Caenorhabditis elegans: one gene and its partner. The protein of the gene in region 1 interacts with the protein of each later gene in a pairwise test. Each region holds a gene or a part of one and is shown in the gene's direction. Other genes may lie near its edges.

The links. The genes of interacting proteins can lie anywhere in the genome.
Region 2: the proteins of C05D10.4 (region 1) and abl-1 interact in binary tests that used the Caenorhabditis elegans proteins (3 or more experiments, as listed by UniProt).

The regions. Positions count from the first base shown.
Region 1 is NC_003281.10:6,098,837-6,105,317, reverse strand, and holds the start of C05D10.4 (SAM domain-containing protein), read left to right. Parts: upstream 1-2,455; 5' UTR 2,456-2,576; coding exon 2,577-2,612; intron 2,613-3,887; exon of another isoform or gene 3,888-3,908; intron 3,909-6,481.
Region 2 is NC_003284.9:10,620,251-10,625,709, reverse strand, and holds the start of abl-1 (Tyrosine-protein kinase abl-1), read left to right. Parts: upstream 1-1,520; 5' UTR 1,521-1,563; coding exon 1,564-1,565; intron 1,566-1,675; coding exon 1,676-1,731; intron 1,732-3,002; exon of another isoform or gene 3,003-3,127; intron 3,128-5,459. UniProt on the Caenorhabditis elegans protein: Functions downstream of migratory protein mig-13 and is involved in Q neuroblast migration during larval development.

The DNA.
Region 1 (6,481 bases):
CACCCCTACCACACCGTTCACCTCCTCGTTGTTCTGTACCTCAAATTATGTAAACTCTTGAGACGAACTGACAACTACCTCCACCTACACACAAATACTCTTTTTTCTTCTCTACCTTTCCCGTCTTCTCTTACCGTTTTTTCACTTCTTGTTGCTGCCACCGTCGTTCCTAATTGCCATTCATGACCCCACGCAGACAGTAAGTATCTCTTTCAACTCTTCCCATATAATTTTCTTTTTTTTTCCGAAAAAAGAACGGTATTGTATGTATTTCTCTCCTCTCGGCATACCAACTACTACTTGTCTTGTATTTCAGTTTTTGGAAGTGGATGCTTCAAGAGGTTGGGGTTATTAGAAACGTGGCAGCTAGTTCTAGAATGCCAGAAGTATCTGAAAATCTGGAACTTCGCAAACACGCTTGAAATGAAATAATTTCGCTTTTGTAATCTCTCACTATTTTATTGAAAGTATTAATCGAGACACTTAGGAATCATGTAAAAGTTGAGAAAATAGGCAGTCGTGAGCTACTCAGACAAGTCTGCATATTAAGAAAAGTGTAATTTTGCAGGGTTTCTGAATATATACCAAAAAATCAGACGATCTTAGGCATATTCTCTGAAATCTCTCACTTTTCCTATTTCTTTTCTTTACGTTCGGCTTCATCTTGTTGCGTAATTGTAGACACTGTCTCCTCCTCTTCACGAACAGTTATTATTATTGTGGTGTGCTTGGCTTGTAAAAAAGGTGTTTGTGTAGAGTACTTCCTACCTTTCGTCTTCTTTCTAGAAGTGTATACACATGATGATATCTTTCTTCATGGATTTTAGTAGTACTGTGTGTCTGTGTCAATATACCTCCTTCCGGACGGATGGCCATTTATTATATTCTTTCATCATAAAAGGTCATATGAGGTGTCGATTATAGGGTTTAAATGAATAGAAAGTTCTTCTTCAAAGACAAGTCTTAGTACGGATGAGGACTAGAGCCTTTAGTTTTTTTCTCTGTTGAAGATTTTGTTTGAAAGTTTTCACTTTCCGTTGAAAATCGAAACCAAATGTTAACCATGTGGTGGTCTGTAGATAATTTATGTCCCTCTACGGTTTTTATCACCTTTGTTTATTATCACTGATCGTTGTAATTAGGCCACGGTTTTTATGTTGCTTCTTCTTCTTCCTTCCTTTGAAATTTTTTTTTGAAAATAGTTGTTAAAAACCTGTTAAGATCTTTTTTATCGATACTATGTATACCACCGTGTTTACCATACGACTTTGAGAAGGAGGTAAATGTTGATTTTTAGTTTATAAATGATCTTTACCATGGGGGAATGTAGAAGGAGTAAAATGTGTTGTATACATTGGAATTTTAGTATGATATGTGGATTTTTTGGTTTTGAAATTCTAAGTTGGCAGTTAAAAGTAGTTAAAATTTTGGATAATGTGAAAGCTTTTAAATTCAACAGACCCTCAAGCTTCCTATGCTTCTCATATTCAAAAACACCTCTCTATTTTTGTACATTGCAACTTTTTTGAATTTTAGGACTTGATGGAGTGCTACATATTCCCATATTGGGACTACTGTTTTTGATGGTTTCAGACAAATCCAAAACTTTTCAACTATTAAAATATCTGAATTCAAAGAAATATGTGTTTTCCTGCCACCATCTCATGTTCACGATGTTTAGTATAGTTTCTTTTAACAACTATATTTACAAAATTGTTCTATAAATATTTGTGCTCATCTCTGGTCCATTAACTCTTCTGCTCTATTGGGTTGTCAGTTTTTTTTTCCAAAAATATTTATTTTTTCTTGTTTTTGTCCATTATTTCCATCAATTTCCTTCCATCAATCCACTCTCAACACTTCCTTCAATAGTATAGTTTCCACACCTTTTCGGCAAATAAAACACACAGACACCATCCAAAAAATTCGGAAGACTTTGTGTTGCCACGTCATCTTTTTGATCGGAAATGGTTCAACGCGAGCTGTTGCTCAAGTGTCTATTGAGAAGAGTGTGTTGTGTCGGAAGAAAATACGCTTGAAATTTCTGTCCGATTTTCAATTTCGATTGCTTATGAGTGTGAGCATTATGGATTAATTTGCTCCAGTTTCTGTCTTTTTTCCGTTTGGTCAATTTCGATGCAAAATGAATGAGTTTTCTGTGACCAAAAAGTTGATAAAGGGTTAATTTTTCATTGTTCCTTAAAGTTTTGCGCTCTAGATATTTTTGAAAATGATCCTTTCTTGTTTTATTTTTAGCCAATAATTGCTCTATCAAATTTATTGAAAATTTATTTTCAAAATTCAAAATACTTGTATCCCCCACTTTCATTCTTAATCCAATTTCTGTCACATCCGTTTCTCATCAAAAATAAAAACGAAAAGTTTTTCTCTCACCTTTGTCATTCTTTTACTAAAACTTCCTCCTTTACCATTTTTTTAAATCAGAAAGTTCCAGGTAGCCAATACAAAAATCAAACATATTTATTTTTGAATTATCAAGTTTTATCACTTGATAATTTTAAATTGCAAAAATAGCGACTTCAATTGACAAACCACAATCAAGGCATTCGTCAAGGATGACGGCAAGACCATATGAGCCACCACCGGATTATGTGAGTTTTTAAAAAAATTTTAAATACTGGTTATCTTCTGTATTTACTGGATATATAACCAAAATTTTGTAAGGCATTTGTTAACTACACTTTTTAAAATAAAAAAATAATTAGATTAATATTGTCAGAACTGTAAACTTTTAAAAAGTTAGATATTTCCCATTACTGTAATTTTTGGAAAAAATCTAACATTTCTGGAACTTTTCGCCTGTAAGGTTATTATGTTTTTTTTATTCGAGAATGTTTTGAAAAATTCAATACTCCGTCTTGTAAAGCGGTTTCAAACCCCACGTTCACGTTCACGTCCACGTTCAGTATTGACCAAATATTAGTATTATAATTGCTCGATGTGGCAGTTGAAGTTTAAACTGTTCTAGAAAAAGTTTAAAATATACCGAAAAAGTGAAGCAAAAAAAAGTTATTGATGGGTTTAATTTTTTGGTAAAACTGACTATGTCGGCATACGATTTTTTCAACAAATGTTCAACCTTTCCCCCCAGCTTTTTCTCTTCTTTTTGCAACTTTTTCATGTTTATTTACACAATAATATGTGCTCTTTTTCTATATTCTTGCTTTCCCGCGCACTCTCATTTGACAGTAGTATGTTCATTTTCAATTCTTCACACCAAAAAACTGGTTTTCCCGCAAGCGGTATCTTTTCTTGTTGCCGCTGTGGGAGCCGACCCGGCAATGACTTTTGGCACCTGTTGAAGCATACTTTTTCAACTGTCTTTGTGTGCATGCAGACTATGAACTCCACTTGAAAATTCATATCGGATTTCGATAGGATAATCAGGTTGGTGTGGGTAAACGTCTTAGGTTTTTTAGGGAAAATTAAAAAATTATAACTTCTTTAAAAAAACGTATTTTTAAACTTAAAACTTTAAAGATCGTGTGTGTAGAAACACTCAGTTTATTGACTTTTTCAAAAGATTAATTATATTTAAATAGTCGCAAGATGATGTAGTCATAGAATGCAAGAGACATATAGAGAGCACGCAGAGAAAGTCGCAGTTTTGATATTTCTCGGGGTGTTATCAAAACATTTTTCCTTTTTTCTCCTTTTTTTTCAAGAAGCCCCTATTTTTTTGAAAATTCATTATTTTGATCAAAGCGGTGACATTCTCAAAAAAGGATGCCTTCTTTTTAAATTTTTTTATAAAAAATTTCTCTGTGAGCTCTGTATCATCTGTTTTTATCCACAGTTTCTCATAATTGACGGCTGTGCTTAGAATCTGACAAACTGGTACCAGACTACTAGATCTTCTTTTTCCTCCGTTTTCTCTTCATTTTAGATTCCTAGCAGATTAAGATTGAATCATCAAATTAGTGAAGTGAAACCGTTGCTAATTGTCTGAAACAATTTGTTTACTGGCAGCTTGCGAAATAGTTTTTTTTGGCTTTGGCTTTTTTGGCTTGAATCAGTTTTGGATAATGTCAAAAAAATTTTGCCGCTTTGAAATTAAAGACAATAAAATTTTAACAAGACGATTTGTCTGAAGGTTACAGAGAATGACAAAAGGAGAATTTTTAAAATTCAATTTTCTTTTCTAATAGAGAACGTACTCAAAACTTCAATGATATCATATTATTGACCCTATCCGATGTTACAGAAAATTCTGTTTGTACAAGATATCCAGATGTCATATGAACTTTATCGCGTCATTTTTTCTCACCCAACTCCCAATTGTTTGCGTTTATAGATTTTTTTATTTTTTAATCAAGACATTCTAACATCACTTGGTTTTTGATAGTTTATCTAAGTTGGATATTTTTGATAAGAGCCTATATACATATATGAATAATATTTGAACATTTTGAACGCTTAGTGAATTGTTTGTGCATAAATTAAAAACATATCGGAAATTATTTTGCTAAATGCTTTTTTTGTTCTCGAGAATCACTTTCCTCGCGAGTCATCATCATCAGAATCGTAAAAGATATATCAAATATCCGGTGTCGTTTTCTTTTCGAACTTTCTCCTCCTCCTCCTACCTCCATCACTATTCCAATTATCACAAAGGAACGATGAAGCGTTTTTTTTTTGTGTTGAAAATGGCCTCTCTCCTCCGATTGACGACCTTATGGCTGCGTGTGGATCATCTTGTTCCCCTATTGAATTATCCTGAAAGACGACGAGAACATTGATTCAGAATGAAAGAAGGAGGTTTGAACAACTATCTCAAGATGTGTTAGGCTTATTCTTTCAACTTGAATGATCTTGATTTGCACTTTTTCTTTGGAGACCGTTTTTTGGCATTTCTTGTACGCATTGTTCTCGTTGCAATACGTTTAATATCACAGATACCAGTGCTCACGAATGTGACGGGAAAAGTGTTAGTTTCCCAAATATGTTCACTTCTTTTCTACATTTGACAATGTTTTTCTAGTACTAGGTAGAAATAAGATATGAACCATCAAACGTCTCTTCAATAACATTCGTCTATTTGTGCAAATTTTGAATGCTTTCAATTTTAAATTGCTTTCTGTAATTCTTTGGTTTTTCGAAAAGAAGACCAATTATTAATTTTGAACCAGCTGAGAATTTAACCTAGAAATATTTGAAATTCTTCGTCGATATAGTTTTTACATCTCCCCTCGATTGCAACTTATCCAAAATGTGTTCTTCCAAAAAAATGCTTATCATTTCCTTTTCTCATGAATTCCAATCCAGTGTTTTTTCATCTTCCTCCTCCTTCTTTCCCTGTTTTTGTGTAGCTTCCTCTCTGATTTCTCCCATTGATAGTATCGGCTAATAACCCTATCATTTTTGCTTCCCAGTTCACCTTCTTCCGTTCGTCCACCTTTTGGATGCTTACCCGAAAAGATCTCATCATCTACGCATGATTTATGACATACCCCACACACAACTTCTAAAACCAAAACGCCCAATTTACATAGATAATCATTAATGTCTCATGGCTACTTACAGCTTGATGACCACCGGAAGTTTATTTTACTTTTTATTGTTAACTTACAATTATAGAGTTACGTCTGCTATATTTACACATATATGTAGGTGCCAAATTATACAATTTTTGTTTTAGTGGAAAAATTATCAGAACCCCCAAAAATTCACTTTGCAATCCATTCTATTCACTTTAATATTTGAACCTTATCTAAACTCTTCATACGTTCTTCTGAATTTTGCAACATTTTCGACCTCTTTGTTCTCGTAGATCAAAACTGATATTCTTTATTATTGATAAAGACCAATACGAATCGGCTAACGAAAACACACGCACAGTTTCTCACAATCAAAACCCGAGGCAACAGCATTCACCGGATGATTCCCAGCAGTTTTGTTGTGTATGTCCGAAACGATAAATCTTCCGAATTAAATACCTAAACGTACAAAAAAAGGAAATTGAAGAGAAGGGGAGAAAAGTTGTAGATATGTTGGTTTTTAGGCTACATATTCTGCTTCATCTAAGTACCTATCTTTCATTATTTCAAGTAAAAATTATTTTGAATGTATAACTGCCTGCCTATGTTCCTGCCTACAAGACGCTCATTAGTTTCCCGGCTTCCCAAACATTTTTCCGCTTTTCATTTCTTAAAAAAGTTTTTTTCCTGCAAAATCATGATCAAAATGTCAATCAAACTTTGTTGCTTCCCGTCATTTCACTTTTTATTTGGTTCCGAAAAGCAAAGCAATACCGGAATTAAGGTTTGACAAAATCTCAATTAAAAGCTTTGATGCGGTAGATCAGATCAATCAATTTTTTTTGAATTTTTATTATTTTGAAATTTTATGCAGAAATTTTCTAAAATATTTAGTTTCTAAATTCAGAATCTAAATCATATATCTTGCAAACATGTTTTTTGTTTTTAGAAAAGTAAACCATTAATCATGAATAACGTACAAA
Region 2 (5,459 bases), on another chromosome or scaffold:
AATTTCCAACAATTAAACGAGGAGAAAAGACGAAAAATAAAAAAAATTATCGAAAATAGAACACTTTGTCACCATCAAAATCACTAACACTAGCAAAATAGCACAGTTTCATAGTCATATTACATATGCATGTTATAACAACAAACCTATTTTCATCTTTTGAAAACCCTACACACAATTCCACTTTTTTATGGAGAAATACAACCACATATAATCTTTTGATTTCAAAAAGTTATTTGTAATTGCCAAGCATTCATTACTTGGAGATCACGTTTTCCAAAACATCTTCGTCAGCAATTATTAAAACTTGGGAGTTTTTTTAAAGAATTATTGTATGCATTAGAGTGCGTTCTTATTGAGTGTTTCAAGTATGGAATTTGTTCTCAATTAACAAATTATTCTTAAACACACAATTTAAAATTAGTGCTTCATGTACAATTATATAGTCCGTGAAACAATGCAAATCTCCAAAAATTTTTAAACTTATTTAAAACTTGATAGGTACTTTTCAGCATATTTTAGTCTAAGGAGCCCTTTTATTGTTTTCAAAATAGTAGGACAGCAATTTTCTAATGAGTTAGAATTCACTCAACCAACCCTCAGAGGCATACCGTACTGTTTCTTCAAAATTTTGATTCTTTTAGTTTTGATTTCCATTTAAAAAATGCGTCAATCTGAATACTACCTATTGTTCAACTTTTCTATTTCAAACTGCATTCCCATACTCTTTCGTCGCTCCAATTTTTATGGGACAAAATTGGCGGGGGTTTTGAGTACCTCCTGGCCTCTCGTCCCATTCTTTGTGATCACACTTTTTGTTTCATTTCACACTTCATCCCCACACTTTCAACCGATACGAATTCGTATCGCAGATTTGTATAAAACATAGCGAAAAAGGAACGGCGACAAGTTTTGATTGGTTTTACAATGCAAAACTTTTTTGTTTATTAATATGTATGGTCTTGTCAATAATTGTTAGATTTTAGATTTGTAATTGACAATTTGTTAATTGGTTTAAAACTATGGTTTTTGCGAATACACAAATATCCGAATAGCATAACTTTTTTTTAATTATTAAATCACCACAATTTTGTAAAACAACTAAAAACTAATTATATCCAGTTTAAACATTATCCATTCATTTCGTATGCATATAAGTTCAATCAGTTCAAAGTATTTGTAGTCTCTACTCCGCGTTTCCAATCTCCTCTAGCTTAGTACTATTTATCTGACAGGAACTGTTGTTATTGTTTGACTAGCGAATAGGCGTTAGTGTTGAACCAAGTGCGCAGTAATAAGCAGTGAACAACGAGTGAGAAGTATGCAAGCGCGCTCTGCTGGTCACTGGATGGGTTATGAGAAAAGAGAGGGCAGCCGGGTACTCGACACATACCTTCACACCAATTGCGCGTCCTTTCTTTTTTCCTCCATGTTCTTTTTTTTTTGTCTTCTTCGATTTTTTCTTTTTATTTCTTTTTTTTAATTCAAGCCAAACTTCATAATTTTCAGGCTTTTCTAACTTTGAAAACATCAAAACATTCTCCCATGTAGGACTTAACAAAAATGTGAGTTCAGTTCATTTCATAATTCTTCTCAAAAACTATAAGGCCATGGTATTTTGTTTATTTTAATTTTACGAACAACATATACTAATAAAGAAGAAAATGTTTTTCAGGGGTCATTCACATAGTACTGGGAAAGAAATCAATGACAATGAACTCTTCACATGTGGTAAGCATTTTGCGCTTGAAAATTGTGAAAATTACTTTTCAACTAAAAACAAATATAATTTCAACATTTGAGTTTGGCATTGGATTTCAAAAAAAAAATTGAATGGTATAATTTCATACCATTTGGAAAAATTCAGCCTTGAAAAATATTAACTTGACGAAACTAATGAATATTTGTTGATTCAAAAGTTTTCCTAAAAAAATGATTATTGTTTGAAACTCATTAAAAAAGTACTGATAAAGTTTACGATTGTTTCTGAAGTATCAGCTTTTGTTTTTCTATTTTTCAAAAAAAGGAAGCTGCTCTCAGTTTTGAAAGAAAATAAGGCGAAATTGTAAAATAAATTATACGTAAAGTATTATAAAACTAATATTTTGTAATTTCTCAGTTTCTCAAAAAAAAAAAGTTCATGTTAAAACATGAAAAACAGTATGTTAAGTTTTATGTATTGTTTTTAACGTTCCTTCTACTTTTCGATGAATTGTCACAATCTCATTCGAAATTGTCTGCCCACAATAAGGCCCTTCGAGTGTAGATGACAGATTCAGAACCGCTCTTAATGCTTTATGCGGTTAGGTTCTCTAATCCTCCAAGTGTTCGGTTCCCTTCGTATTCCCGTTCGCTGTAGATATATGCCGGAGAGGGTGTGGGGAGGGTGAGAGATCCTCTTCTAAAGTCACAAGTAAACGAGACGCGGAAGAAAACGAGAGTAGAGATAGTAATAGCTGGTATGGTGGATTGAAAGAGAGCATGAGTGGAAGACGGGACGCAGACAAACCAAGAGGTCACATCTCCCTTCCCTCGTCCGTCAACTCCCGGTCCCTAGTTTGAGGACAACGCATGCGTGATCCAAATATGGGAGACTATCCAATCAAGTGTATCTTCTCTACTCATCTAGAATAATTAGATCATAATTTTTTACAAACTACAATATTTATAAAATTATACACTTTTAAAAGGTTTAGGCATAATTTATTTGGGAAAGGAAGTTTGGAAGAATAGAAAAAAATGGAATAAATCCAGTTCCTCTCCCCTTTCCCGCTTTGCCGCCTCCCGGCAAAACGTCGCTTCTCCAACTTGTTATTCCAATTCAATAGGTTTCAATGCCATATTCGCAGTTATAAATGCTCGACCCCTATTGACTATTCGCATTTTATTCACTTCACTCCAGTTTTAACTAGATTTACCATTTCCCCCCATCTTTTTTCTCCCTGGGTCAGAGAAGCAGCTGGACTTGTGTTAGTAGTACGACGAATCGCCCTTCTTCTCGTTGACCAATTAGAAAATGTGCTCTGGCACATTTTCCTTTCTGTGTGGGACTGAGAACCACGGGGGACACCCAACCTCCTGTTCTTCATTCTTTCTATCCAATTTTTATGATGGATTTGGTGCGACGCGTATACAATGAATATAAACGTTCGCAAGTCCACACCCATTTTTACAATTCCCTAGACATTGACACGGCATGTGACAATATTGAATAGTTTTGCTAATTTTGTGTTACTCTCGAAGAAACGGCATTGTCTCTGCTTTTTTTGTTATCTGAAAAAATAAAATCAGTTAGGTGTTTCAGTAGAATTTTCAAAAATAATTTACATCAGACAAACCGAGCTGAACAACCAAAATATATCCTAAATCAGATTTGACGAAGTTCAGATCATTGATCTTTTTCATAACGTGATTAAACACAAAACTATAAAAGTTTTATGAAATAGAAAAGAGAATACTAATTTTAAAATCTTCCGGTTCCGGATTTGTGTATGTGTTTGCTTATCAAATCACAGTTCTTACATGTATTTTTTAAGTGAAAAATCTATTAGGTCTCCAAATAAGTTCCGGGTCAAAAATCATAACTTTGTTCTCTGTGTATCGATTTTTATGAAACTTTGGGAATTCATGTTATCAACAATGATCTTTCATTTGACATCAGTCACAAAATTTTTTGTCCACCCCAAGTGTCCTAACTCGGAGCCAATTTTTTCAGGCATTTTTCCTATCTCGCTTCTAAAAGAAGACCTTTGAATTGAGGTTTGTGTGCGGATTTCGCCTTGCTTAAAATACATTATTAGAAAACGACAAAATTTTAGAAAAAAATCCGTCCAAAAAATTTTTTTTTGGTTGGTCGTCAAAAAATGTTCAAAAAAAATTTTGTCGAAAGTTCTAGATTTTCCCTACAAAAATGATGTAAACAAGCGTGAACTATTTTTACACATACAAAACATATCAATTTATTTCGATACACCAAAATGTTAATAGAAAATATAATTTTTTCGGATAATTTTTGAGTTTTTTGAATATTTCTCGAGATTCAAATTTCAAACTAAAACGATTATTATATATTTAAAAAAAATTTTTTGGACGGATTTTTTTCTAAACTTTTGTCGTTTTCTAATAATGTATTTTAAGCAAAGCAAAATCCGCACACAAACCTCAATTCAAAGGTTAAAAGAAGCGAGATAGGAAAAATTCCTGGAAAAATTGGCTCCGAGTTAGGACACTTGAGGTGTACAAAAATTTTTGCGACTATTGTCAAATGAAAGAACATGGTTGATAACATAAATTCCCAAAGTTTCATAAAAATCGATACACAGCGAACAAAGTTATGATTTTTGACCCGGAACTTATTTGGAGACCTAATATAAACCTCGTTTCGAAGTTTTGAAAATTGTATACCGTATTTCTTCTATTAATATGACTGCAATACTATTGTTCGATGGTCTTCCCGCTTGCAATACTAATAGGGAGTGCAAGACTATTAGGGAGTGCAATATTAATTTTCAGAAAATTTTTCTGACTTTGAGCTTTCTGATTTTTTTTCTGAAAAAACTCGAACCTTGTGTGAAAGTGAAAATTTGATTGTAATTGCAACAAAAAGGTACAATAACTTCAATTTCATAAAAATTTTACCACAAATTGTTGCAAAGTAGGCAAAAAATGTTGTTAAAATCTCAAAATTAGTGAGGTGGGTCTGTACCAAAAAAAAAGTAGACGCAATACTATTAGGGAGTGCAACACTAATAGGGAGTGCAATACTAATTTTCGGAGGGTGTTCAAGGAGCAATACTAATAGGGAGTGCAAGTCTAATAGGGAGGCCATATTAATAGAAGAAATACGGTATATATCAAATATGTATTTTTGAAAAATCATCCGAAGAATCCTACTGGTTACTTACAATATATCCATATTTGATAACACATTAAAATCACATTTTAACTCTTCGAAATAATTAATCACAAATCAAATTACTGTTTCAAATAGTGAAAAACCTCCAAAACAAATGAAAAAAAAAGAAAAATACGAGTGCGCATAATTATGGCCCACCCTGTAGCTGCATATTTCAATACAATCAAGTTTTTGAGTTTTGAGGGGACAGGTAACACATGAAGTTTTACTGAATACAAAATTAAGTTTTGAAGGTTGAAAATTCTAATTTGAAAAATAGGAAATTTTATTCCAGTTAACACCTATCCTCAAAGCTTAGTTGCTACTCTAATGGCTAAAAGTTTTTTTCGGCGATGAATGAAAAAAAATTATGCTGTAAAAAAAGGTATATTCAGTTGATTCTAGTTTTTAAAACTTACGTACCTAAAGCATTTATAATATTCCTGTCAAAAATATTCAGTCATAACCTACCTCCCTTCTCGTTTTTCTTTTTTTACATACTCAGTGCTGTATAATAAGCTACTTATAGAAAGTACTTGGGTCAAGTAATGCTGACTCTCATTCT